4 linked regions of the Drosophila melanogaster genome follow. Changing the gene in region 3 together with the main gene of any one other region gives a genetic interaction. Each region holds a gene or a part of one and is shown on either strand. Other genes may lie near its edges. The genes, in order: hth, btl, jing and sim.

What was found.
Region 1: of jing (region 3) and hth, changing one enhances a phenotype caused by changing the other (phenotypic enhancement), as found in Drosophila melanogaster (one study listed by BioGRID).
Region 2: of jing (region 3) and btl, changing one enhances a phenotype caused by changing the other (phenotypic enhancement), as found in Drosophila melanogaster (one study listed by BioGRID).
Region 4: of jing (region 3) and sim, changing one enhances a phenotype caused by changing the other (phenotypic enhancement), as found in Drosophila melanogaster (one study listed by BioGRID).

Annotation. Positions count from the first base shown.
Region 1 is NT_033777.3:10,611,263-10,616,228, forward strand, and holds the start of hth (homothorax), read right to left. Parts: upstream 3,015-4,966; 5' UTR 1,738-3,014; coding exon 1,723-1,737; intron 1-1,722. UniProt on the Drosophila melanogaster protein: All isoforms are required for patterning of the embryonic cuticle. Acts with exd to delimit the eye field and prevent inappropriate eye development.
Region 2 is NT_037436.4:14,074,001-14,081,794, reverse strand, and holds the start of btl (breathless), read right to left. Parts: upstream 5,982-7,794; intron 5,920-5,981; coding exon of another isoform or gene 5,850-5,919; 5' UTR 5,747-5,849; exon of another isoform or gene 5,672-5,746; intron 4,731-5,671; exon of another isoform or gene 4,668-4,730; intron 2,341-4,667; 5' UTR 2,184-2,340; coding exon 1-2,183. Other genes in the region: Pex1 (peroxin 1), read right to left, coding at 5,850-5,919, 5,982-6,085, 6,336-6,959, 7,022-7,218, 7,277-7,794. UniProt on the Drosophila melanogaster protein: May be required for patterning of muscle precursor cells: generation of mesodermal and endodermal layers, invaginations of various types of cells, and CNS formation.
Region 3 is NT_033778.4:6,500,023-6,505,036, reverse strand, and holds the start of jing (jing), read right to left. Parts: upstream 3,032-5,014; 5' UTR 1,999-3,031; coding exon 1,349-1,998; intron 1-1,348.
Region 4 is NT_033777.3:13,070,793-13,078,405, reverse strand, and holds sim (single-minded), read right to left. Parts: upstream 6,008-7,613; 5' UTR 5,908-6,007; coding exon 5,856-5,907; intron 5,745-5,855; coding exon 5,550-5,744; intron 4,327-5,549; coding exon 4,157-4,326; intron 3,836-4,156; coding exon 3,734-3,835; intron 3,594-3,733; coding exon of another isoform or gene 3,570-3,593; coding exon 3,402-3,569; intron 3,330-3,401; coding exon 3,130-3,329; intron 2,208-3,129; coding exon 2,101-2,207; intron 2,013-2,100; coding exon 940-2,012; 3' UTR 282-939; downstream 1-281.

The sequences.
Region 1 (4,966 bases), on a different chromosome or scaffold from region 3:
TGCACATTTTTTTTTTTTGCACATTTTACACGGCCGCTCTTTCTCACTGTTTCTCTCGTTTGCTCTCCGTTTCGATGGCATAAAATAATCAAATTAAATATATATAAAAATGCATGTGCAGTTTGGTTTGAGAAGAACCCGCGAAAATTGCTTCCCGCCATTTTTCGCAAATTATAGCAGCGCAAAGTCATGGAAAATGGTAAAAATAAAATTGTAAATAATAAAACCACGAAGCGGCATAAACTGAATGGATCGCTTTTGGGCCGCTGGCAATGTGCAAAATGTGCAATAAAATTATATGCATCAAATGCACACAAACAGACAGAACACCCGTATATATTCACATACTCGTACATACATACATATATCTCTCGCCCCGAGTCGAAAAATTCATTTGATGGAATTGAAATGGCGCGATTCGGGTAAAGAGCCGCAGGAGAATTACGAAAAAGGGGATTCAAAGAGGTAAATTCGGCACAGAATCGGGTATTAAACCACAGGCGTAAATTTATTCGCCAGTAACGCAGACACACACAAAATTCCCGCGGGCATTTCTTTTTTCCCATCTCCATTTCCATTTCCATATCCATTTTTATTTTTTATATTTCTTTCTGATTTTTTTAATGCTCCCAAAGAGCATGGCCCACCTTTTGGTAACACACACACACACACACACGCTAATTGGTAGCACACACACAGGCAAACGGCCATGTTTGAGGTCTTTTTGCTCCGTTAAATAAAAATCAAGTTCACTTCGCATGTCCATGATAATCAATTGATAAAGTCTAACTGCGATTTGGTAATAATATTTTTTTGAAGAGCGGGCGAGCGGAGACTGCCGGTCACCTGATTAGCATATAATTTACGATCCAGATGGATTGTAAAAATTATTACTCCGTTTAAAAAGCGAGGCGAGAATTTATGCCTTATAAACGTGATGGAAAATGGTGGAATCATTGTGGCTATGCAACGGGGGGGCTTTTCGGAGGTGAAGGTCCCAGCCATGTTTAAACAAAAATCGAATCAACTATTGCGGTGTGAAAATGAAAAGTTAAGGGGAAAAGCTAACAATTTTCAATAAACATTATTTAATGATTTTCTAGAGTAAACCGTTGTTTAATGTAATACAATATCTATCACTATTTCGGCGATCTTTGATTTCCATCACTTCCCAAATAAAATGGTCTAGCTGCAGACTCAGTTAATTATATAAACTTGTACCAGAAAATGACCCGCATAAATCAAATGTGATTTCTGTCCTATTCCAATACACATAAGCACACACACACACACACACTCAGAAACGCTTAGTTAAAATTCATTTTGATAGGGCTCTAATAAACAAGAACTATTCCCCATTGAATTGATTGTAATGGGTTAAATTGGAGAAGCTTGGAGGCCATGTATAAGAAATATTTATATAGATCTACTTCATGAAGTTGGATTAACTAATATCTGAAGATTTTTAAAACTTTTTGCGTATTCTGGTTATAGATTGATTTGGTTACACTGGTAACATATCCATGATATGAAAACTGTTACAATATCATCATAAACTACAACCTGTAAGTGCCGTCGGCACCACTTGACTTGATTACAAATTGACTGAACCCCATTTGTTTTTTAGCCGTCGGAACTTGTTTAAGGATAACAACACTCTCGGGGGACCATTCTATATGGATTCTATATATTTAGAAAGTGAACTTTGGTGGATCTACTTACCCTGGGCTGAGCCATTAATGCTCTGGGAGCGACGTCTAACCCGATTTGTGCCACTTTTTACAGTAGGAACAACAAATGGGGGCGCAACACACTGACCGACGTCCCGCTCCGCCGCTGCAACTGCTTCGGTTTTAGGGAAGCTCTACTGTAGCTGCCCGTGTGGAGTCCTTAGATTTACTCTTGGCTTTTCCAGTTCTTCAGTTTTGGATGTTATTTTCTTGGATTTTTATATATGTTTTGCACTTTTTTCATGTATTGGGAAGCCTTTGCTTTTTGAACGCTTTGCTTCTTGATTTTGCTTTCTTTTTTTTTAACACAGGCACATTTGTTTAGATTTTATGTATTATTATTACGTTTGTATACTTGTTGTATTGTTGATGTTGTCGTTTTTGTTACGCGCGCGTTTGTTGTTTGTTTTCTAGAGCGGGAGATCTGGTTTTGAATGTTTTTTTTACTTGTGTGTTTGTTATAATAATTATTTACATAGCATTTGTTTGGTTTATAAAAATCGTATACAATTTGTTGTTGGTTGCCGTTGCAGTTGTTGTTGTTGATGTTCTTGGTATACTCGTGTATTGTAGTAGTTGCTGCAACATCATTTGTTACTGGGTTGCATTTGTTGTTGTCATAAATCCATGGCGTTTTTTCCCTTTTCCTCTCTCTCTCGTTTTGCGAGTTTCCTTGCCTTTTCCTTGGTTATTTTTATAGTAGTAGTTGTGGTTGCTTTTAATTTTTATTTGTTTGTCGTATACTCTTTTTGCTTTTTTCGTATAATATGCGCACTATTTATCACAGCTGCTTCTACATACTACGTTACTAGAGATGAACAAATTATATTGTTAATATATAATGCAATATATTCTGTTGTGTTTTTGCGACGGCAATTTGCGTGTTTCTTTGTTTTTGCGGGGGGATCGGCGGGATCCCCTCGTTGAAAGAAATTCCCTCCGCGGCCCTCAAATAACAGTATTTATTTTGGCCTTCAATTGTGAAAAGGAGAACTTTTCGATTGTGATTGAAAAACACACTAAAAAACGTGATTGTTTTGTTCGCGCGATGGAAAAACGCGCGCGATTTCCAAAGTGTTTCTTGTGTTGTTTATTTGTTGATTGATGGCAAAACGCGTGGTTAACGGGCAATAATAATAATCATAATAATAATAAACTTCACCGACGGCAACACTTTTTCGCTTTTCTTCTCTTTTTTATTCGAACGCAACGCAACACAGACACACGTCGTACGCGCTTCGCAGTCAAAAATACACTGTGCGGATGAAAGATATTTCATCGAAAAACCAACCCGCCAGATACGTTTGAATTTACGCTACAGTCGGACGTGTTTCCACTCCTAACATCGCTGTTAACTAACAGCGAAGAGAGCGCTGAGCGACAAACAACAGCAAAGTCAACGGGTGCAAGCGGTGCGGCATGATTGTCAATCATGCAGCTGCCCCGCTCTGTTCAGATGCAACAATTGTGCCATTAACTCGCTCTTGGCCATAACTCAGCGAGTGCAAGCGAGAGGAATATATGGTTTATGCGAACGCTCCGGCGAATTGCCTGCGCAGGCGCGCTCGCATCCTGGGCGACGATGACTGATTTGTTGGTACGCCTCTTCTGTCATACACACACTTGTCATTCACATGCATATACAGTACCGTACAGCGGTGTTCTATCTCTTTCTCTTTCTCAGTTTTCGCCTCTTTTTGCGCAATGTTCGCCGCGTTTGAAATTTATTTGGCTTTGGCCAAAAGGAGACGGCTTATGGGTTTTTCGCCCCTCTGCCGGCGTCGGCGTCGAAAATCAGCAAAAACCAATCCCATTTGTTATTTTCGCTTGAGTGAGTGGCAGTTGGCAGCTTGGCTCTTTTTCGCCGCACCTTTACAGGTTGAAAGGCAGCGAGAAAGCTTCAGTTGTCCATCAGCTTCAGCTTTCGCTCACTTTTCGCTCTCTTTTGGCGCCCCCACACACACTCGCACACACACACTTTTGCCCGAATAGGCAACGCCTTCGAAGAAAAGCGGCAAAAAAGAGAAGAAACTTGAAGGAGAAGAAGAAGAAACGTGGACGACAAAAACAAACTTTTCGCTGCAGTTCCTTTATTGCGTCCTTTTGGCTTGTAACGGTGATCTGGCCACTTTGGAAGGATATGCGATCCTGACAACAACAAACAGCTGTTCGAGTTTCTCCTCTCTCTCTCTTTCTTACTTCTTGGGGAACAACAACAAATGGAACGGCGATAAATTGTCAAAAACATTCGCTGAAAATTGCATATTTTGCAGGTCATTCTGCGCTCCTGTTTGGCGAATCTACTCTCATTTGGTTTTTTATATACCCTGTACAAATGGTGTTACATCTCAAACCAAAAATAAAAAATTGAGGAAACGGGCTTTTGCATTATTTGAACAAGTTTTTTGATGACAAGTATGTTTGGGCAATTTTCAGTCAATTGTGATATCTTCGGCGTGATTGTACAAATTTTTTTTTACATTTTAAACTAAAATAAATTAGTCCAATTTGTTTTACCAATAACTACAGGGTAACAAGGTATGCCAATCTTCGTATTCAGTCCGAAATCCTGTCTATTGTTGCTGTTATTGTTACTGTCGTGTCGTCGTCCTCGTGGCAGTTTAAAAAGCAGTTAACACATATTCCCAGGCCATTTTTCACCAGCGTATTTTTGGCTTGGCGCTGCAGTTGCCATTACGCCGAAAGAGACGGGGATACTGGCGAGCGAGAGAGACGGGGCGATTTGGCCGGCGTTTTTAGGAAAATGAAAAATAGCCTTGTTTGTTTTCCGACGCTCGCCAAAAGGATTTCCCGTGTCTGTTTTCGCTGGTCAAAAAGATGATGTTGCACTTAATCTGGTTGCCATTTCATCCCGAAATCCCAAACCCCCAAAATCTTGGGAACTATGTATGATATAGGTGCTCTGTTTCTGCGTCTTGTCAACACTTTGACAAATTTATGAGACTTTGATTGATTTGCGGTTGCTTTTTCCCTTTTTTCGTTTCGGGACTCGCTTTCTTTTGGCTTTTTCAGACGTCCAACTTTTGTGCGTCTGCTCGGGCCAAAAGCCAAGTAATTTATGTGAAACAAAAATCACATAAAATCGAATCAATTAAGTGCAATAAATTAGTGAAACGCTTAAGTGTGGGAACTTTTCAGACTTATCGGTGACCAAGTTAAATTCGAATAGATCGATCGACGCGGTAGCAAAGTTCAAGGATCCCAACGAAATGTTA
Region 2 (7,794 bases), on a different chromosome or scaffold from region 3:
ATCACTACGCGTCCAAAGGCGCCCTCACCCAAAATGGAGCCCAAGCTAAGCTGCTGCCTGGGAATCTCCCAGTTTGAGTCCAGCGGGAACTCATACTCATTAAAGCCCTGGGCGGGATCAGTACCGCCAGTTCCCGTTGTGGAAACGGTTGTTCTCTGCTTCTCGATCCTTATCACTGGCATCTGAAGATCGCCGGAGCTGCAGCCACTTCCTTCTTCTCCACCCGGTCGGTATATGATCACCTTTTTAGTCCACTGATGAACCGTTTCGATGCGGAGCTTCAGGAGCTTCTCCCTCCTCAGCCGACGCAGCATGAACGTTATGAAAGCACTGCCCAAAAGGAACAAAGCCACTATCGTAATAGCGGCCAAGGTGAATCCGAGAGGATGGGCGTGCAGCAGGGCGTAGATCTCCAAAGGTGGCAGAGGACTCACTACCCTAAGGTACACACTGGAGTTACTCCTTCCCAGACCACTTGAGGCCAAACAGGTGTACCAGCCCTCCTGGTCAAAGGTCACATTACGAAGCGTTAAAACTACGGAGTCATTCGTCACGGTGAAGTTGAGATTCTGGATTTCCACAGACTTAAGGCCGTCCAAGGAGGCATTCTTGAGGACAACCCTTTTCCAGCTGACTGTTGGATGCAGATCAGAGTAGACGGTGCACTTCATCACCAAGCTGCCATTGACTTTCACCGTCTGATTTTGCGGCACCACGATTATTGGTGCGGATCTCGTGCGATCGTTTATTTGGACACTGAAGTCAAACTGGATGCAGCCCCACGCATTGCACACCTTACAGTTGTATAGTCCAGAATCCTCGCTGGTGGCCTCCACGAAGCGGAGTGTCCAGTTCTTTTGCACATAGACGCCGAGTTCACGGTTTAGCGGCTTCTTGTCCTTCGTCCAGGTGATGTTCGCTTTGCCGTACACTGGACAGGCTAGATTGACAGTATTTCCCGATAATGAGTGCTGTAATCGTTTCAGCTCTTTTCTGAACACAGGTGGACCAACGCCGCCTGATGCTTCCGCTGCTGGATTTTCCACGTCGTCATCGTTGTCCTCTCCGGTGGATGCAGTGGGTATTGGGCTGGCCACGGTGGTAGTAGTGGTCGTGCGAACTGTGGTAGTATCTGAGGGACTGTAAAGATCCACATAGGAGGCGGCCACAGTGCGTCCAACCTGGTTCTCGGCTATGCATATGTACCATCCGCCATCCTCCATCAGGACATTTCCAAGACGAAGTACCTGCGGTTCATCCATTCGGGTAATCAATCGGGTAACATCCACAGGTAGCTGGGACTGCTCTCTTAAACGCTGCAAGAGGTCATCGATGTTGTCCGCATTCCCCTTATGTAGCCACGTGATCTTCGGCTCCAGGGCAGAGTCCTCAAGTAGGCATTCAATGCTCACATTGTCCCCGAGGGCAATGCTGGTATTGCGGGGATATCCGGGCTTTAGCATGGGCACCGTGTGCTTTCTGCTTATCACCTCCAATTGGGTCGGATTACTCCTTTGGCAGTCCTGTTCCACGCACAGCTCACAGTGATAGCTTCCAGCATCCTCCGGCTGCAGTTGCCCCACTGTTAATGACCACCTTTTAAGCTTAATGCGTCCACGTCCACCAAGGATTTGAGTATCATTGTGCAGCCAGGATATATTAACACCCTTTGCATCCGGATCCATGGGACTGCAGTTCAACTGAAAAAGGCCACCTGCGGTCCGTTGTACGGTTTTGGGTAGGGGTTGCAGCAACTTCAGGGATCGACTCTCATTCAGGGGCTGAAAAAAGAGATCTGACTCCGGGAGGGCCGGTGCATCTTCCAACTTGACAAAGCTGGCGATATCATTGCCAACTGGTTCCTTATGGCCAACAACAAGGGAAATATTGTACCATCTGTTCTGACTATCCAGGCAGCCGTAGTTTCCAGAATTTCCGGACTGTGCTCGTTCAAGTCGCAAAAGGGTAGCCCTCAGTTGAAACTTATCCTCATAGAACCATTTGGCCATGGGTCGGACGCACTGCAGCGTGATGTCCATGTCGGAGAGCAGATGGCGCTGGCGGGGACTGTTTTCCACAGTCACATCGATGTAGCAACGATGATGGCCATAATCGCATCCCAGGTCCGCAGCGGCAGAGACGATCGCAATGATCATCACCAGCGTGATCGGCACTTTTGCCATGATTCAAGTGGATTCTCTTGAGTTCAACAGCCACCAAGATCTCGTATCTGGATGGGCACGATCGTGTACATATGGGTTACAGTTGCGGTCGAAATAATATCACTTCCTGTGGGTATCTTCATTCGAGTTCCTCGATTTCAAATCGAGCGTTCTCCAGCTAAAGGAAAGGATTAAATATATGAATTACATGGCATTGATTGATATATTATACTTTAAAAATAACACTTTGGAATTTTGTTTAATTTAACTAAATTTAAGAAGTTATGAATGCAAATATTATTAGCTATTCGTTACTTGAATACCACTATTGTGCCACTATTCTTTTGACCGCAGCTGTATAAGTGGATCAATAAATATTGCCAAATCTCCGCTTCACTTTTTGCCCCTCCCTTAGTTCCCGATCTGTGTCATTTTATTTATTTATTATTATTGTTTAATATTTTATTGCCAACACGGCACACAGCCAAGTCAAGTCTGTCCGCACCGATATGCAAAAATCCAAAGGAGAAGCAACTGAAACAAACGAAAACTGTGTGCCCTGCCTTCGTAATGAGCTGGAAGACGTGGTCGAAGCCACCGAATTGCCGGACACACTCGTCGCCACCCACTACCGAAGGGGATCTCCATTATAACTTGTCTATATTCGACGTTCGCCAAATGCTTTTGTTGCTGCGGCCTGCGCTCCTCGATTTCCATTCAACTAAATGCCGAACAGTTAGAAAATCACTTAGCTATTTGTTGAAATCAGTTGTTACAGTGGTGTCACACTTTTCAGTTATTCCCCAAGTACTATACTTGCACTTACAAAACAAACAGACAAGGTGCTAGAGAATTGCAACAACAAATCGAGAAATACCTAAATGATTTGCCACAATCTGAAATAGCAACTAATTAACATTCAAATTCTCTGTGCAATATGAGCTCAGCATTTTAATCAATTAAAAGGTATATTTATAATAAAGTTATGCTTTAAACACTGAATAACACTGCTCGAAAATCCTAATAGCAGATAATTATTTCAAAATTAATTTTTAGTATAATCACGTAAAGGGTATAGGACAGTGGGTATTCCATCTACTTGGGTTCGTCAAATGTTTGCCAAATAAAAATAAACAATTTTTAGTTCAATGATTAATGATGATAGGGTAAATTCCCAAACTTGTTGTCTGCGAATGTAAGCTTTGTACAAAATGTAAAGTTTTAAACGAAGTTTAGAAAATATTGATAATAATGGGGGCATAGCATAGTTCGACTATTTTTTCTATCAGAAAATTAAAATATTTTTAACTTTTATAAAATCGTTTTGACCACTGTGCTGTTTAATGAAAAGTATTTTATTGTTTGTAAGGCTTGGGACAACCGTTGCGATTGTCATTGTTGTTGTTAATATGGTGCTAGTGCTGCCAGTAATTGTTGTTGTTGTTTTAGCCGATATTGCCGCTAGCCGCTAGCCGTTTGACTTCAGGCCCGATTTATGTATGTATGCACACGCGTCGCAGGTTTTAATTTATTCAATTCCTTTTTTTCTCATTTGTTGCCAAATACGAGTCGATCGCTGTATTTGAAGTATGTATTATTGCTATTTTTATTTAATTTTTTTCTCAGTTTGTCATTCATTCAATATTATTCGATTCGATTTTAAGCCACAAGCGCACATGGCCAAAACCGTTTAGCTCACACCTTTTTATCTTGTGAATTATTATCGAGCGTATAAATCTAATGCATGAACGATTTGATATTTCAACTTGGTCAATCAGCTATATCGAGAATAGAATAAGTTCTTTATTTGGAACCCTGGGTATTAACTCCCCATTCAGTTTTCTTTCTGCAAACATTGACTTAATGTAAAAGGAATGTTTGGATCAAGACATAAATTATTCATTCATACAATTGACATCACTTTAATTTTATTTTCTTATTTATTTCATTGGTGTTTATTTAATTATGTATGAATCAGTTTTATCACGTTTCTTTGTCTCAATTAAAATTTTATTTTTAACATTTGGTTACTTTGCAGACTTTTTGTTTTTATTTATCTGTGGTTTATGATCTTTTGGCTGCACTTGGAAAGATTTGTATTTATTTTACTGCTGGAACAATTCACTCTTAAATTATTTTTTGCTTTATTTTGGTTTCACTGCTGCTTGTCAGTTCGCAGTGGGAACACAATTCTTTTCTGCCATGCCACAACCCCAAATCTTTGACCAAAAAAATCACGTTCTTTGTCTTTTATTTTCGAGGAGCCGGAGAAGGCAAATAAGATTGCAAAAAACATTGTCACTATGTTTATTCGGCTGTCAATCGCGGTTGGGGCTTGTATAAAAATCTTAAGACTCGGCAAGAGGGCAGCGGAAGGCGCCTTGCATTTCCGCTTCGTTGCCAACTTTTATTTCCCTTTACCAGGCATAAATGAAAAGAAATATGTGATGGGTAGCTGGTGTTGGGCGGGGGGGGGGGGGGGGGGTTCACTTCCGTTGCACTAACCGTAATCCGTAAAGTTTGTGGAAGGAGCCAACCGATTGGCTTGAATGTGCGCAAACAACTGAAAGTAACGATCGAAACGGAAGAAACTTTTACGCGGTACGATACGAACGATCCGAACGTGCCGATCGAACCGAACCGATCCAATACGATCCAATACGATACGAAACGAGTGGATATCTGTGGTTCCCTGCGATAATGTTTGCTAGGATCCTGGGCACAGGGTCTTCGGATGGGATGGTATGGGTTCGGACGGCTACCTGATCGAGGTGGTCTCCCTCCCGCATGTTGCAATTGTTTTCGCTGGTAGTTTTCCTGAGCGGTTTCCTTTCTTTTTATTGCTGGTTTGCTGCTGCTGCTTCTGCTAGGTTCTTGTTGGTTTTATTCTAAGCATGTTTGCGGTGGCTTCGACTCGTTGAAATTCTTTATTATCTGGCCTTCGGGTTCCCTCCCTGTTTGTTTGCTTGGCGGCTTAATTTATGCAAAAGAAAATGTGTCCATTGTCTTAGTGGTGTGCAGTACGTGCGCATGCGCGGTAATCGCATATCAATAAGGAAATATCCGTTACGTGACTGATATCCAAAAATCTCAGTTGCTGCATGTGGCATGGCAGCAGCTAGCTCCCGCATAGGCCAAAATCCAGATCCAGATGCCGGGCACGTAATCTACCCAAAAATAGTTAAATGCATTTTTGATGCACTTGTTAGGGGCTATGGGAACAAATGCGAAACAGTTGGGAAATACGAAAAGGAGGGACATACTATCCAAACTAGCTATCAAAAACTTGTTATAGCTAAACACAATTTCCGGTGAATTAATAACCAAACTCACCTGATGTCTTCATTTGTTAAGGAGCCACCCCTTAACAGCACTCATGTTTACCGAGGTCAGAATGCGAAAAGATATTAGTTCTTAAATTTGAACATCTCTTTCTCTTTTTTATACATGTATGTACATTATAATTAAAATATAATATTCTTTCAATTTAACACTCCGGAGTGGTATATGGATTTATACGAAGTAATCATAAAAGAAATTTGGTTTTTATTTTTCAACAAGAAAAATTATGAAATATGTACTACCTAAGACTTGCGTCTTCCAACAAAATGTTCCATTTTCCAGATGTACAAATATGCAAAAAACAATTTAAAATAATAATAATGCTAAGCTTATAAGTCTTTGTCTTTAAGCCAAGGTCGCACGCTTGGCTACAAACTCCCTAGAAGTCTTCTCCTTGTTGGTAAAGCGAGCATACCTACCAAGAGATAATTAAAAAGGTAAGAAGAACAGAAGAACAAAGAAGACATTGTTACGTACGTTCTGTGATATTTGGCCACATCGGAGGCGCTGAGCGAAGGACGAGTGGTTTGGAACGACTCAATCAGGTGCTTCTGCTTCAAGGAAATTTTCTTTGCCAGTTTCTGGGAAAGCAATAAGAAACAAATGGTATTTTATACTGTGGCCAGAGACTAAGAACTACGTGACTAATCATTGTTGCAGGAAGTAGCATAGATTTCACTTTTGATTTAAAAGACAAACACGTAAAGGAGTTTTTACATAGAAGTTACATTTGAAATCAGGATGAGAAACAATAAAACATGAAAGAAACGGTTGAAAGCTTGCATGACCCATAAAGCAGATTGTTTCCGGTGAAAATAATTCCCAGCTCACCTCGTGTCCGAATTGAGCTAGCGCCTCCTTAACCGCCGCCATGTTCGCCGAGGTCAGGATGCTCTGGATATCGGCGCCAGTGTAGTTTGCAGTTTTTCCCGCAAACCAATCGAAGTCCACGCACTCATCAAGGCTCAGTGTTGAACTGAGTGCTTCAAATATACGTACTCTGGCCGGAGCATCCGGCAAAGGACACTCCACCAAGCGATCAATGCGACCGGATCGAAGAAGCGCGGGATCTAGCAGTTCCGGTCTGGAGGTAGCTGCTATCACGGTAACTCCCTGCAGTCCTTCAACGCCATCCAGTTCTGTGAGCAACTGATTTACCACTCGATCGGTGACCCCCGTGGAATCGTGACCACGTTTCGGCGCCAAGCTGTCAAACTCGTCGAAGAAAAGCACACATGGTCGGGCACTGCGAGCTCGATTGAACAGGTTTCGAACATTTTCCTCGCTTTGACCAATATATTTGGCGAGCAACTCAGGACCCTTGACGGAAATGATGCGCAGGTTCCACGATGTGGCCAACTGAGAGACCAGATAGGTTTTACCTGTTCCTGGTGGCCCATATAGAAGTACTCCGGCCTGGTTGCGCAGTGGAGAGGCGTTAAAAATGGTTGGATACTGTAAGAAATTAATGATTTATTAAATTTTAGAAAAAAACATATATTTCGTTTAAAACTCACCCTTGATGGCCACATAAGGACCTCCTCCAGAACTCCCACAACTGACTCCAGGCCAGGCAACTCCTCGACGCGCATTTCATTGGCATCGGCATCATTGCCAGTTCTTTGATTGCTCTGAATGCCCTGCAGGCAGTACGAGTTTGTGTGCTCCAGGGACTCAATAAGCTGATCATTGGTCAGAAGAGGCTGGGTCTTGCCTGGAAAAAAGGGAATTTAACATGATAAAGTTGCTTACTAACACTACAAACTACTCACTTATGCGATAAGCATAAAATATTGCACGCTCCACGAACTGAACAAGATCACATTTCCGGTAGCCCTCCGTGAGGTTGGAGAACTTAACAAGATCCAGGTCCTTGGCCACATTGATATGGCTGCACAGCTCTCGAAGAATTATCTCTCGATCTGCTCGTTCCAAATTGGGCAGACGAGCAACAGTCTGGAAGACATGTCTTCCCCTTGGTGAGCTCAATCGCTTATTGAGGGTCTGCAACTCGTTGACGGTGGCGATTACTGCAATAGCGTTGTTGGTGGTATACTGAACAATCAACTGATACACAGTATCCGCCATGCGATTGTAGTACTCTCCATCCTGACTGGACTGCTCTCCAGCAGCGTGGGCCAGTACATCCAAGTTTTCTAGCACAACAATGGCGGGGGCATGCTGCAGGCAGCTGGTAAAAATGTTGCGAAGATCTTTTTGGATGGACTCCGTCTTGCGGCCTTTGCTTCGCGATCCGTGGAAGAACTCGAAGTGACAATAATCCGGCTTG
Region 3 (5,014 bases):
TGATTTCCGACTGCCAACGAAGAGAAAGAAGCAACGCCGAAATCGCTCACCAGTCAACGAGGGAACGCGATCTTGGGGAGGTGATACGAGGACGGTGATAAGGCCAAGCCAATTGACAAAACGCTCCCCACAAAACATTTGAAACATGCTGCTGCGAAACCAGACACAAATGCCACATTGGCGTTTAGAAGATATGTATGGAATCAGAACCATTTCTGAAAACCGAAACATAACTTAAACATAATCGACAATTGTGCAGCAGATCGGCAGAGAGCACCGTCCATATTCAAGATTAATTTCCCCGAGGGGGTGGTTTCGGTTTCGGACTCGTATCTGCATCTATATCTACATCGATGCAGCCAGGAAGCTGTTTTCGTTTGCTCAACCGCCCACGCGCCGCATGGAAAATCAGCAGCTCTGCTACTGCGGCGCATCAGCCGCCATTTGCGGCTGATAAATGAACGCATGTTGTGCGTATCTGCCAGATACAAATGCCTGCAGTTCGTTGCGGCCTTTGCTCTTCCTTTGTTTCCATTCCACTGCTGCCTCTACTGTGCTGCGCATTTTTAATGAGCGGAAATTAGTTGGCATTGCGGCAAGAGGTTTTGTGGCTGCCCATTTGAGTAGATACAAATGTATCTGTAAGCCATAAATTTGCAATCTATGAGGCACGTGCCTCGTAGGCCCCTTACAAGACTGGCACTTTGCTGTTCTGTACAATTATCGGAACGATTACCTGTCAGATAAATTCAGCTCAATCGGCTATTAGCTTTTTCCAGATCTCGCTGAGCATTGCAGATTTGGTTCATACGTTTATCATGATTGGGATGGGCTGCATTCTATTTGTGTCTTACGGATCACACTTTTGGATCACTTTTTGGCAGTACAGCGCGCGTGTATATTTAGAGAATTTTCTTTGGCTCAGACTTGGCACAGCCAGCCGGTTCGCAGATACACTTTTGCATTTCCCTTTATAGTTAGGCAGTGCATCTAAGAAATACATTTGGCAGCTTGCATTGTTAAGACGCTTAATGATGCCATTAAATACGTCGATGAAAAGGGGACGGGGTAAGCTGCTATTGAATGTCTTTATGGCGTATACTAAAGGTGTTTATGCAAAAAGTTTATTTTTTATTATTGTTAAATAAGTCTTATTGTGTTCCTTAAAAATTTTAAGTTTTCAATATATTTCATAAATTAGATACGACCATCGTGCCTGCCTTTGCATTTAAATAAACCTCAAAAAATCTCAAATTACGACTAGAATTTAGAACTGTCGAAGAGCAACGTACTTCCCTATCGCTGCAAAATGCCAAACTTCAGTAGTGTGCCCACGACATGCACTCACCTGTCTGATGACTCCGACGAGTCGTACCGATCTAGACATCTCTTCTTGGACCCCTTTGTGCCACGTTCTCCTCCAGTTGTTCTTGGGGCTGTTGCCACCGTTGTTGTTTTGCCGACTCCCACTCGAGATGTTGTTGCAGTCTTCCTGGCGCCCTGGTAGAGCTGAGATCGCAATGCGTTTATATCCAATTTGGCGGCTTGGGCTCCAAACCCGCCAAAAACTCCGCCCACCCCCCGTTTGGTACCCTGCACGATTCCAATAGTGCTGGGCGAGGTAAAGGGCCGAGCGGGTTTGGCCGGGGGCTTCAGTTCAATATTGGAGGACAGAGACGGGCTTTTGTTGATGGGTGGTGTGGGTGGTGGGCTTTTGGGAGTAAGTATCGGGGAGGCGGTGGTTGTACTGGCTGGTGCTGTTATAGGTGGTGTGGCTTCTGGGCTACTGTTGTTGCCGACGCCGGCGCCAATTGTCAAACTGTTTGTATTGACGCTATTTTTCAGCTGATCAAACAGTGACAAAGCCGCGCTGGAGGTTAAAGTTTTCCGTCCCGTTGCTCCTGCTGTTTTGACAGAGAGTGGGGCCAGAGGGGCTGCTACTTCAGCTGCCGACTCCTTGGTCTTTAATGCCGTATCCTTTGGCTGAGTGACTGACATTTTCCCTCTATGTTTGCTGCACTATTGCTATAACGACGCTTTTAATTGGTGTTAACTGCTGCCAGAACTCTGGATCTGCTTTAGCACACATCTGCTATTCCCAACGGCTTATTGTTAGTCGACGGAAAGCCAATTTGAATTGCATTAATCTGAAAGTTGCTCGTCAGCAATTTTTAGCCGCACTGCCCTTAAATGGTGTTACCATTCCGATTTTCCCCATCAGTTTGCACAAATTGGTATATATATATCGCCATGAACTTGCATTTTACGACTTTCGTGGGTCGGACTATCGAGTTACGAGAAGTAAAAATATTTATACAAATTAAACAAAAATTCATTTAAATCAATTGCACTTGTATGACTTTTGGCATTAAGCTGCACTTCACTTCTGCACTTATGACACACATTTTTCAATTCGATTGATATTTCAACGAGAAACTACTTGATCATCATAAAATTAATCGACGTCGCGGGTTCGGTTTTGATTTGCGTGGGGTGGTTGGATTTGCGATCCGTTACAAAGTGTTACACTGTGCTTTATGGATTTGTGAATGGCCAGTAGTTATTTCACTGTCGGTTGTTTCCGGTGCACACCCGAAATTCATTCTGCAAGATTGGCCACGCGGTGCTCGCAAGTTCAAGAAAGCGACAATGAAACCGAATTCAAAACCGAAACGGGTAAGTCAGGTTAACCTCCTAGTCGCTGTGACTGCGAGCCAGCTTTTGTTTATTGACAACAATGACGGGCGAACAAACACATCGCAATCTAATCAAATGCATTCCAATGTGCCTCAGCAAACTAGCGATTTACTTATCGCGGGGCCAACTTGTCTGCCGCGCGTACCATTCATAATTAATGTAGTGGTCACTGCTCTTAATAGCCGCCAATTGCAGTATAACCAAATTAAACAAAGTCTAAGAAGCGCTGCACTGCAAGCTAAGAATTCCGAAACGCCATCGATTGGCAAGCGAAAAACTGCGATCTCCCCACGAAAAAGCTGCGGGCTGCTCTTGCTCTGCCTGCCGACTGACTGACGAGTGGGGCCAAGTGGAGTGGGAGTGGACCGAGCGCTGCGGCCCCACCCGAAGAGGTAGCCGACGAGAAGCGAGGCGGCGGACCGAGTGCCAGCCGAATGGCTTAGCCAACTAGAACCGGGCACAAATCAAGATACGAAGCACGCGAAGCAAGAACGAAGGCAACGAACTGCCGTTCGTTTTAATAGGGGCTCTCCGACGAGCTGAGGGTGAAGAGGAGAAGAAAGGGCCGCGTGCAGTGTGTTCACTTTTGATTTCTGTGCAGCGGCAGCAGGTTTTCGAGAGCGGGACCAAGAGAGAGGGTCGCGTGGGGAGCTTGTTGCGCTACAATGTGAGTTCTTTCTGTGTGTGTGAGTGTGTGCATTTGAACTTCTGGGGAAGTTCAGAGATTCCGTATTTGAATTTCAGCATTTGGCGGCTGGCTAGATGGGCAGCAACTTCCGATGTGTCCGCGGTGGCAAGTTCGCTCACACACAAGCGACCCAAGCTGCAGCTACCTGTTGATATGTGTGGGAACTAATCAGAATACAAGAGGTTCCTGCGGTTCGATAAAACTCAAAACCGGTTCATCCAAGCGAGCATGGTTATATGGGAACTTGAGCTCGAATTTGAAGCTAAATACAGATGTGTGGAGAATATGCACCCATAACCAATACCTTGGCTATATGTATCTGTTTTGGCCCACACTTAATAAGGCCAAAAAAGTCAAGAACAAAAACAAAAAAAACACGAGTCTTGTATAAAAAAAGATAAAAGTAAACAAAGTTATGGCAAAAACCAAACAATAACAAAACAGCAAGGCAGCCAGACCAGCTCTCTCACAAACACAATCTAAAGTCGCAACTGTTTTTAAAGACCAAAGAAAGGGAGGGAGCGAGGAATCAAACACAACACGTGCTTTTATTACGCTACAAGCAATGGTACGTACGTCTGTGCGATGCAACTGAGGGAGACTGCAAAAACAGGAGGGACAAAGAAGACATGTTTACGCGAGAATTTTGCGGGTGTGTGCGAGTGCGACAAAACTCGTTTGGTGTCCAGTTTTACTCTACCAATAAAATGTTTGTTCCTATTGAACGTTTTACACTGCACATACTTGGGATCACTTTAATTAAGTGAATGAATTCATTTCCGAGGAATGCATCTAATACAATCAAAATGTTTTAGCTCACAAAAGCTCTGCAAAAAATAGCTCACTCAACCATTGTAAATGCAAAAATACACTGCGTAAGAGTGACAAGTTAAATAAGTTTATAAGCTTGCGTTCGCATTTTGCGCTGCATTTTCCGGAAAGCTATTAAACTGCAGCAAACGGAGAGAGAGAGTGAAAATAGGATTGAGACAATTGAGAGAAAAACAACCATAATGCTGCATTCATACTTCGCTGAATATTTTTGTAGATGCATATACATATGTGTAGATAATATTAAATTAAATTATTAAATATAAAAATAAAATATAATCAAACATTTCCTCAATAAAATATCTAAGCTGGCAATTATACTGGAGCCCATCACAATTAAAAAAAAATTATGGGTCTTTTAAATGCTCTCAGTGTAAAGCTCAGATTGCCACAGCATACAGCTTTTGTCAGCGATTACGTCCAAATAAACAGTTATGCCTTTTCAGTATTTTTATAGATAATTCCAAAATTACATAAGTGGGCATGTAAACTAAGTAAGGAATCAAACCAGTTTAAAATTGATAGCGAACTGCATGATGTTCCTTGACCATCAACGGGAAAATTGGTTAACCAACGCAAAGTCAGTTTAATTACGATAAAAAAATAGACTCATAAATAATCACATATCTAAAACTTCCGAACGCATAAACGAAGACAGAAACCTTTATGTTAAATAAATTTTTCACATCAACTCCATGCTAAATATTTTCCGTTCGACTCCAATTTAATGTGTATTAATACGACTTTAAAAAAGGTTTTCCGCACGTTTGAAAAGGCATTTAAAAAGCTTATTTATTT
Region 4 (7,613 bases), on a different chromosome or scaffold from region 3:
TAGTATGTTACCTAAAAATATGCAACGAAATATTTTAAAATCGGCTATTGCGTCAAAGCTGCATTTTTCAATCCATACAAAATTTGATTAAAACGCTAAATTGTGAAATATATAAAAGCATATAAATAGATAATTTTAAAACAAAGATAATGGAAATAGATAAAGGTGCTAGTTTTTGAAAATAACATTTTATTTGTAAACCAAGATTACTAAATTAAATAATAACTCTAGAGGCTTCCAGCGGCGCTTATTTGAAAAAATCGAACTCTCGCTCTTTTTTTATTGTTCACCCACGTAATAATTTGTTTATTCAAATTAGAAAAATTCTCGATAATAATAGATTTTACATTTACAATTATTTACTTGACTTATGAAGATCATATTCGTTAACTGCATAGTGGAGCGGACCCTGCACTATTTACACATTATTGCATATACATATGTATATTCGTAGATCCGATGTGTATGCATGATTATGGGGGCCAAGTGTATGCGCTTTACTATATAGTTATAAGTATAAGTATGTGCAATTAATTTAAGTTAGTTTGTATGAACAGTTTACAGTTAGGCCTTACAACTATTTATTATTAGAATTTGTATTTGCTTTTGCATTTGTTAACAACGATCATTCCGCATTCTTAATTTCTTAGCATTTTGTATCAATTTCTTTGTAACTTTACACTGCACAATTAACGCGAACGCATTGCATTGGGTAATGCATGGTGGGGGTGTTAAATAAATAAAATAGAGGCATAGAGGAGGTCCTGAAATTCAGATGGTGTGTGGCTCAGCCACATATTACAATTTCGAACTGAGAACTCAGAGGTGTATATAACATTGCAACGGATGGTGGGGTGGGGGCAGTCGACGTTTTATAAACAACAGTACAGTAGCAGTCAAGGCTCATCGTCCAACATTTGGTTATTTACATTTTTAGGATCACCAGGTGGCGTATTGGTATTGCAGATGCTGCTGCTCCATCAGATGCTGCTGCTGCTGCTGATGCTGATGCTGTTGCGAACTGTTGTCGGAGAAGTAGCTCAGCTCGAAGTTGTGACTCAGATCGCTGTAGGTCGTCTGTGAGGGCGATGTTTCGTTCACAATCGAGGCATTTCCGGTGGACAGCTGCCTTTCGCTCTCCGAACTGCTCGAGCAGCTATTCGAATTGGCCGAGAATGGGCGTATCATCGAGGTGGCCACATCCACCGTCGCATCGTAGTCATAGTAATAGTGATTGTTGTTATTGTAGTACAGGTTGCCGGTGGTCGTGTCCGGATACTGCATCTCCGTGGAGTAAACGCCGGAGGACGAGGCCGACGCACTGGATCCACCGCCCGCACTTGAGGCGGTGCCACCGCCCACACTGCTGCTCGAGCTCACCACCAGGTCGTTCAAGGGCGGATAAAGCTGCGTGTAACTCAGGCTATCGTGATCCATGCTGCCGGACTGCTGCTGCTGTTGCACATGATGGTGGTGCCACACGCCGTTGTTATTGTTGCTACTACTACTACTATTATTCGTTGGGGGCACGGGCGTTACGGCCGGCTGCAGCGGCAGCTCTGGCTCGAAATACGGATCCAGCTTGGGACTTGCACTGAGGGCCAGACTAACTGGCGTACCCGGACCCACCGGCTGACCCGTTGCTCCGGCGCACTGCGGCTGCACCACCACCGACTGCTGGGGCACCACCACCACCTGGGCCTGCACCGCTTGAGCCACATGTGCCGCCTGTGCCGCCTGTGCCGCTTGGGCCGCTTGGGCCGCTTGAGCTGCCTGTGCCGCTTGAGCCGCCGGCGATATGGGCTCCCGCTTCACAACGCCCGTCTGAATCTCGTTCAGCACCAAGTCTTTCACCTCTCGTTCGCTCAGCACATAGTTCACGCTCACGATGAACACTTCTCGCGAGGATCGCGAATTGTGCACCAGTGTCGCGTACGACTGCACCCACACCCAGCCGCCGCCTTTGGTGAGGAAGCGGTAGTACTTGGTGGTCACTTGTCCTTTGTACAGCACTATTGATAGGGAGAGAAGAAACAAACTCGATGAGAATGATGTTTTATGGAAATTATTATGGCAGTGTATTGGGATGAGTGTACTTACGGATTTGATGAGAGCAGCGCATGGCCATGATGTCCGCGGCGTGGATATACTGATACAGGGTCTTCTCGATGAGGTCCTGCGGCTCGTATCCTGTTAGCTGCGATACGCTGTAAGCAAATAAACAGGCAAAAGGATGAGCATGAGAATGGGGATAAGTTTCGAGGTCGAGGGCAAAAGTTTCGCTGGCTTATTTAAACAGTGAATGAATGGTCATTGGTGTTGCCTTTGTCGCTGGCGTGTTTTATTCGGTTGGTTTACTTTTGCCGACTCCAATTCAATTATGCAGGAAAACAAAAAAAAAAGAAGCGGCGAAAAAGGGGCTGATTTCCCGCTCAGCACTTTGGGGTTGTTTGCTGCGAAAGTGCGAGGGCGCCAGAATAGGATGGCAATATGCTGTGTGGCATCATGAGGGTAATTGAGTGACAATAATGTCAGACAAAGTGGGCTGGTTTTTTGGCCCGGCAGGCACTTACACAGCGTCCCCTTTCCCCCTCAGCACTCACTCACACACTCACACACACGCACAGGGACAAAGGAAAATCAAGCTCAAGAGGGAAATGATTTGTTTTTCCTTTTGTCATGTCGCCACCGTCTTGCTTACATTTCCTTTTCCCTACTCGATTATTTTTTTTGTTTTCCGCCACTTTGAAAACATTATCTTTTTGGGGGCGTCTGCTGGTACTTTTTATCGTGGTGTAAAAAACGAATTCTGCGGCCCGTTTAAATATTTGCCTAGTGTCGAATATACGGCAAACAGGCAAAGGATACTTTCGAGAATTTTTTAAGTGCAGTGAGAAAAATTATGCTGTGAAAGCACCAGGCTACACGGATAAAAATTGGTCTTAGAATTACATTATGATATTTAAGGATATTAAACATTAAGGATATTTAAACATCCAATAAATCGATGTTGTAAGATTTATAGGAATTTCTCGAGTGGATTTCAATACAAAGTGATAGAAAATATGCAGACAACGAACTATTCATCTATTTGTGCCCTAATTAAATGGAAATTTGAATTACACTTACCGTGCATCGAAGAAGATGAGCTTCATGTCCAGCTTGGCCCGGAACATGAACATATTCTGGTGCAGCTTGATTTCCGTGATGGCGGATGAAGGCAGCGAGTGACCGACGGCCACCAGGCCGAGATTCTGGATGAGGCTGCCCTGTCCATCCCCGCGATCGGGATAGATGCGAGCCTTCAGATAGCCGGAGCAGTGTATCACCTAAAATCATCAAGTAATACAAGGATAAGCAATCAATCCATTTAAAGGAATGGTATGTATAAAATTCTTTACCTTAAATCCGGAGGTGGTGAGGCCCGCGTTCCTTTTGGCCAGGACGCACTTCATGCGCAGGAAGAAGGTCTTCTCGATCTCGATGGTGTGCGATCCGCGATCGTGGTCGTAGGCGGATGGATGCTGGACGCCATTGGGACTGCCGATGGGCGTGTGCGTCTGGGCGAGCTGTAGGGAGTTGAGAAAGGCGGCCTGTGGCGTGAGTACAAGTCAGAGTAGGATGGATGCATGGCAGTGAGAGAGAGAGAGAGAGATGGAGAGAGAAAGAAAGAGAGCGCAAACATTTTCAAATGTTTCAAAGGACTCTGTGGAAACACGGATGCTCTACTCACTGGATGCTGGTTGATGTGCGGATGCAGCGACAAAATGGCATTCATCTCGTCCTGATCGTAGTTGTGTATGTACTCGAATATCGAGTTGCCCGTCAGCTCAACCTGGTTAAAAAAAAGAGATAAATAAACCATTAAATATTAAATTTATATAAAATATATCCTATACTGATGTAAAGTTAATTTCTTTATGCTGATCATATAAGTGGAGCTATGTTAATTTGCTCCACCAGCACTGAGTGCCAATTAGTGGGCAAATGCAAATGAATCGTCTTTACTGAAGCCACAGCACTTGGGTGACCTGCACCATTCAAGCCCATTGACTTGCAAATGCAAGTGGTGGCCAGGATACAAAAAGGCAAATTCAGGTGGCCCGGCAAATTATGCGCATAAATCAGGACAAGAGATCCATTCACCGACACTCACCTGACTGAGGCCCAAATGCACGGAGGCCGTTTCCGAGATGTACATGATTTTGCCATCCGGAGCCACCACGAAGATGAATCCGTCCAGCGTCTGCAGCAGATGGGAGCCCAGCTCCTTGATGGTGGCGCCGCGTTGCATGGCAGGCGATGAGCCCCAGGCTTCGCCAAGACCTACAAAATAAGATTTAGATTTATGAAACATGTTTTATTGTCTTTAAAAATGAAATCTAAAAAGTTCTTGCTACTTAATACAATCAAATTGTATTCCGTTTTAAATGATTTTTATATAGTTTTATATTTAAGCTGTCCTTTCTATTGTCTCCGTTTGATTGGACTTGGATTTAGTATTATGTCAAGCTCCCGTTTCTATTGTCTTATCCGCCCCAATGTCCTGAATTAATTGTTTGTCATCCGCTCGAAGTATCTTAATTCGCAAAATTCCCACCAGCAGCAGTGGCAGTGGCAGCACACGCCCTACTTGCCACTGCTGACGTCTAAATATTATTCCCAATTAAAGTCATCGAGCGCCGTAGGTGGCCCATTCACAGCCCACCATTCCACCCACTGGCCCACCCCCCCCGACTTTCATCGACTTCGCACCATATATACAACATATATTGTGTTGTACATAATACCACTGGCACTTCCTTGGCCCGTCCGGATCTCGTTGTTTGTTGCCTATTATTAAAATAATTATTTCAATAAAGGCTGAAAAGAAAAGCACAAAACGGTGCGGCAACAATGGGAGCGTCAAACGCCCAACCAACCGACCGACCAACGAACCACCCACCCACTCACTTCTCGAGCAACCCTCTTTGTCAGCAGAAAATCTCAGTGGCGCACGCTCACATGGTCGGTGGGGAAAAGTTCGGGAAATGTGTGTGTGTGTGTGTGTGTGTGGGGGGGGGGGGGGGGGAGATGTTCGAGTTCGGTTTTCCAGTGCGGCTCTCGCTGCTCTTTGAGTGAAACAACCAAGCAGCCGCCATTGTGTTTTCGCCAACCCCAACCAGCCGCCCACTTCATCCTGCTGTTTATTGTCTGCCCATTTGTTGAGTGCTATTTCCCTGTTATTTCCCTGGCCGATTCTCGCCAACATATGCTTTAAACAAACATAGCCGCTTAAACTTGAAAACTGGCAGCGTAAAATGGAATGAAATGAAATCATTGCAAGTACATTGGAGTTAAAGTGAAAACAAAGGAGCATGTCCTGCTGCGAGGATATGACGAGCTTGGATTATAATGAGCGTGTCGGTCGCGTGGCTGTCAAAGATTCCGCATCATTTGCCGTGTAGCCACAAGGCGCATTTCACACGAGATGAAAAGCCAAGAGCGGCGACAAATTGAGCGCCAATCAAGTGAGTTTTTCCGCAGGACGATTTTCCGATTGAACTTACCATCGGGAAAGACTTGGCGCATTTTCAAATACGACGTGGTCAGCCGGATGACGGAGGCCTTGTCCAGTTGCGAAGTAATCGCCGCCGGCAGCGGCAGTAATTTGGCCAATTCACAGAATTCCGTGTTTTCCTTTTCACGTCGCGTGCGTGCCGCATTTTTGCTTTTCTCCTTCATGGCACACGTTTTGGCTATATCTGCAAAAATCGAAATAACCAAAAAGCATTTTTAGTAACAGAGGAGAAAGTTGGTAACAAACTAAAAAAAATGAACGTTGATATATTTCGTTGCCAAAAACCACAACCGACCATGCAATCTGCTCTCATAGCAATCCTTGCGCACTCGCCGATGGTTAGTCATTTTAAAGATATCCTTTTTTATAGATCCTGCTTTGAGACTGTTGCGAGCACCTTCTCAGCACTTGCTCATATCCCTGCAATCACCTGTTTGCAACTGAGCCGCTTTCCAGCGGCACAAGCACTTTTAACAGTTTCCCAACTGATCCCGAAAAGGATCTGTTACCTGATCCTGAGAAAACAACCTGCCATTGGCTGCACTGGATTTTTACCTGTTTACCCGGGGCAATTGACTTTTCGCAATGTTACTAATTTGCTCAGATCATTTTTGCCGAATGGCGAGACGAAAATAGCTGCCATCTCACTCCAAGTGACTCCTGCATTCAACAGGTTGACTTTTGCCGACCGCAGGAGTTTCACTTATATCTATATGCACACAGACACACACACAAATATTCTGGTGTCTGTGCGAGCACATAATACCCAAATGATGTCCCACGCACACTGCCAAACAAAACGAGAGTTTAGGAGGTGGCGAAATTTATATGCACCACACTCACACACATCCACAGCCAGGATGAGGATGACCCACAGCCGGAATCCTGCCATTGATAGTTTTCGAACGTGATTTTGGCGCAGTTTTGGCAAAATCTAAGCCATTGGAACTCCTGCTGCTTTATTTTCCATCGAGTCACTTTTTCTGTCACTCTCAAAGAAATTGGCCATTTACCTAAATGTACCGAATGGCTGGAATTCGCACGTAAATACAAGTTTATTGACTTAGGTCACGTATCTTAAATGTTTTTAGTTTTGCCGCTAATTTGCCCACAAAAATGTTAGATATGCAAGTTAATCCGACGTCTTTTATGGCCATATAATGCAATATATACCTCAAATTTTATACTTCAACTAAATGTATATTGGAATAACTAGAGCTTAGCTAATTTATGATAAAAAATTAAAAAATAAATCAAAGCCAAAACTCCAATAAAGTGTTTCCTTTGTATTGATAGTACTTTGCATCCATTTAGCAGCAAGAAATGAAACATTTGTCAAAAGTCAGAGATTGAGGGAATTGTCGACATCCGTTACGCATTCGCAGGAGCAACAGATTTGCCCAACGATCATAATCCTAAAGAGTATTCCGCGCTAATCCGCAACGCAAATGTGCCAACATGCACGTCTGAAGTGAGGTTGCTTCCCTTTCTCCGTTGGCGAAGTGGAAATTCCAGGGGAAATAGGGGAAAACTGAGGCGTTCCCATTTAGGCCGCGATTGCCATATTTGACTCGACTAGCGTACAATATGCGGACAGGAGTCAGCCAGAGGGTTGGATATCATATGCCGGCAAATCCATTTAATAGGATAGTTTACGAGCCGTAAGTGGGTCAAAATTATTCAGGATATAAGCCATTATTCCATTTGAACATTACAGCATTTCATATAGCCATAAATACGGGAATATGCCATTGATATATCAGCGTTTGTTTCAATAATCTCAATTCTGGATATAGGAAACAAAGATGTAATCAAAACATGCTAGATAGTATGAAATCATCGTAAAATGTGCACATCTTTAGGATTAATATTTTACAGAAAATTAAAAAAATGTTAAATAAATTGTCATTTCAAATTTTTTTTCAATTATATTTATAAACCCTAGGGCTAAAAAAGTTCCCCTTTCACGACAATGAAACTCAAACTTTAACGATCTTTTCCCGGAAAGCGTATAAAAATGCGACTCATGCCTCGAATGGCAACTCAATGAACC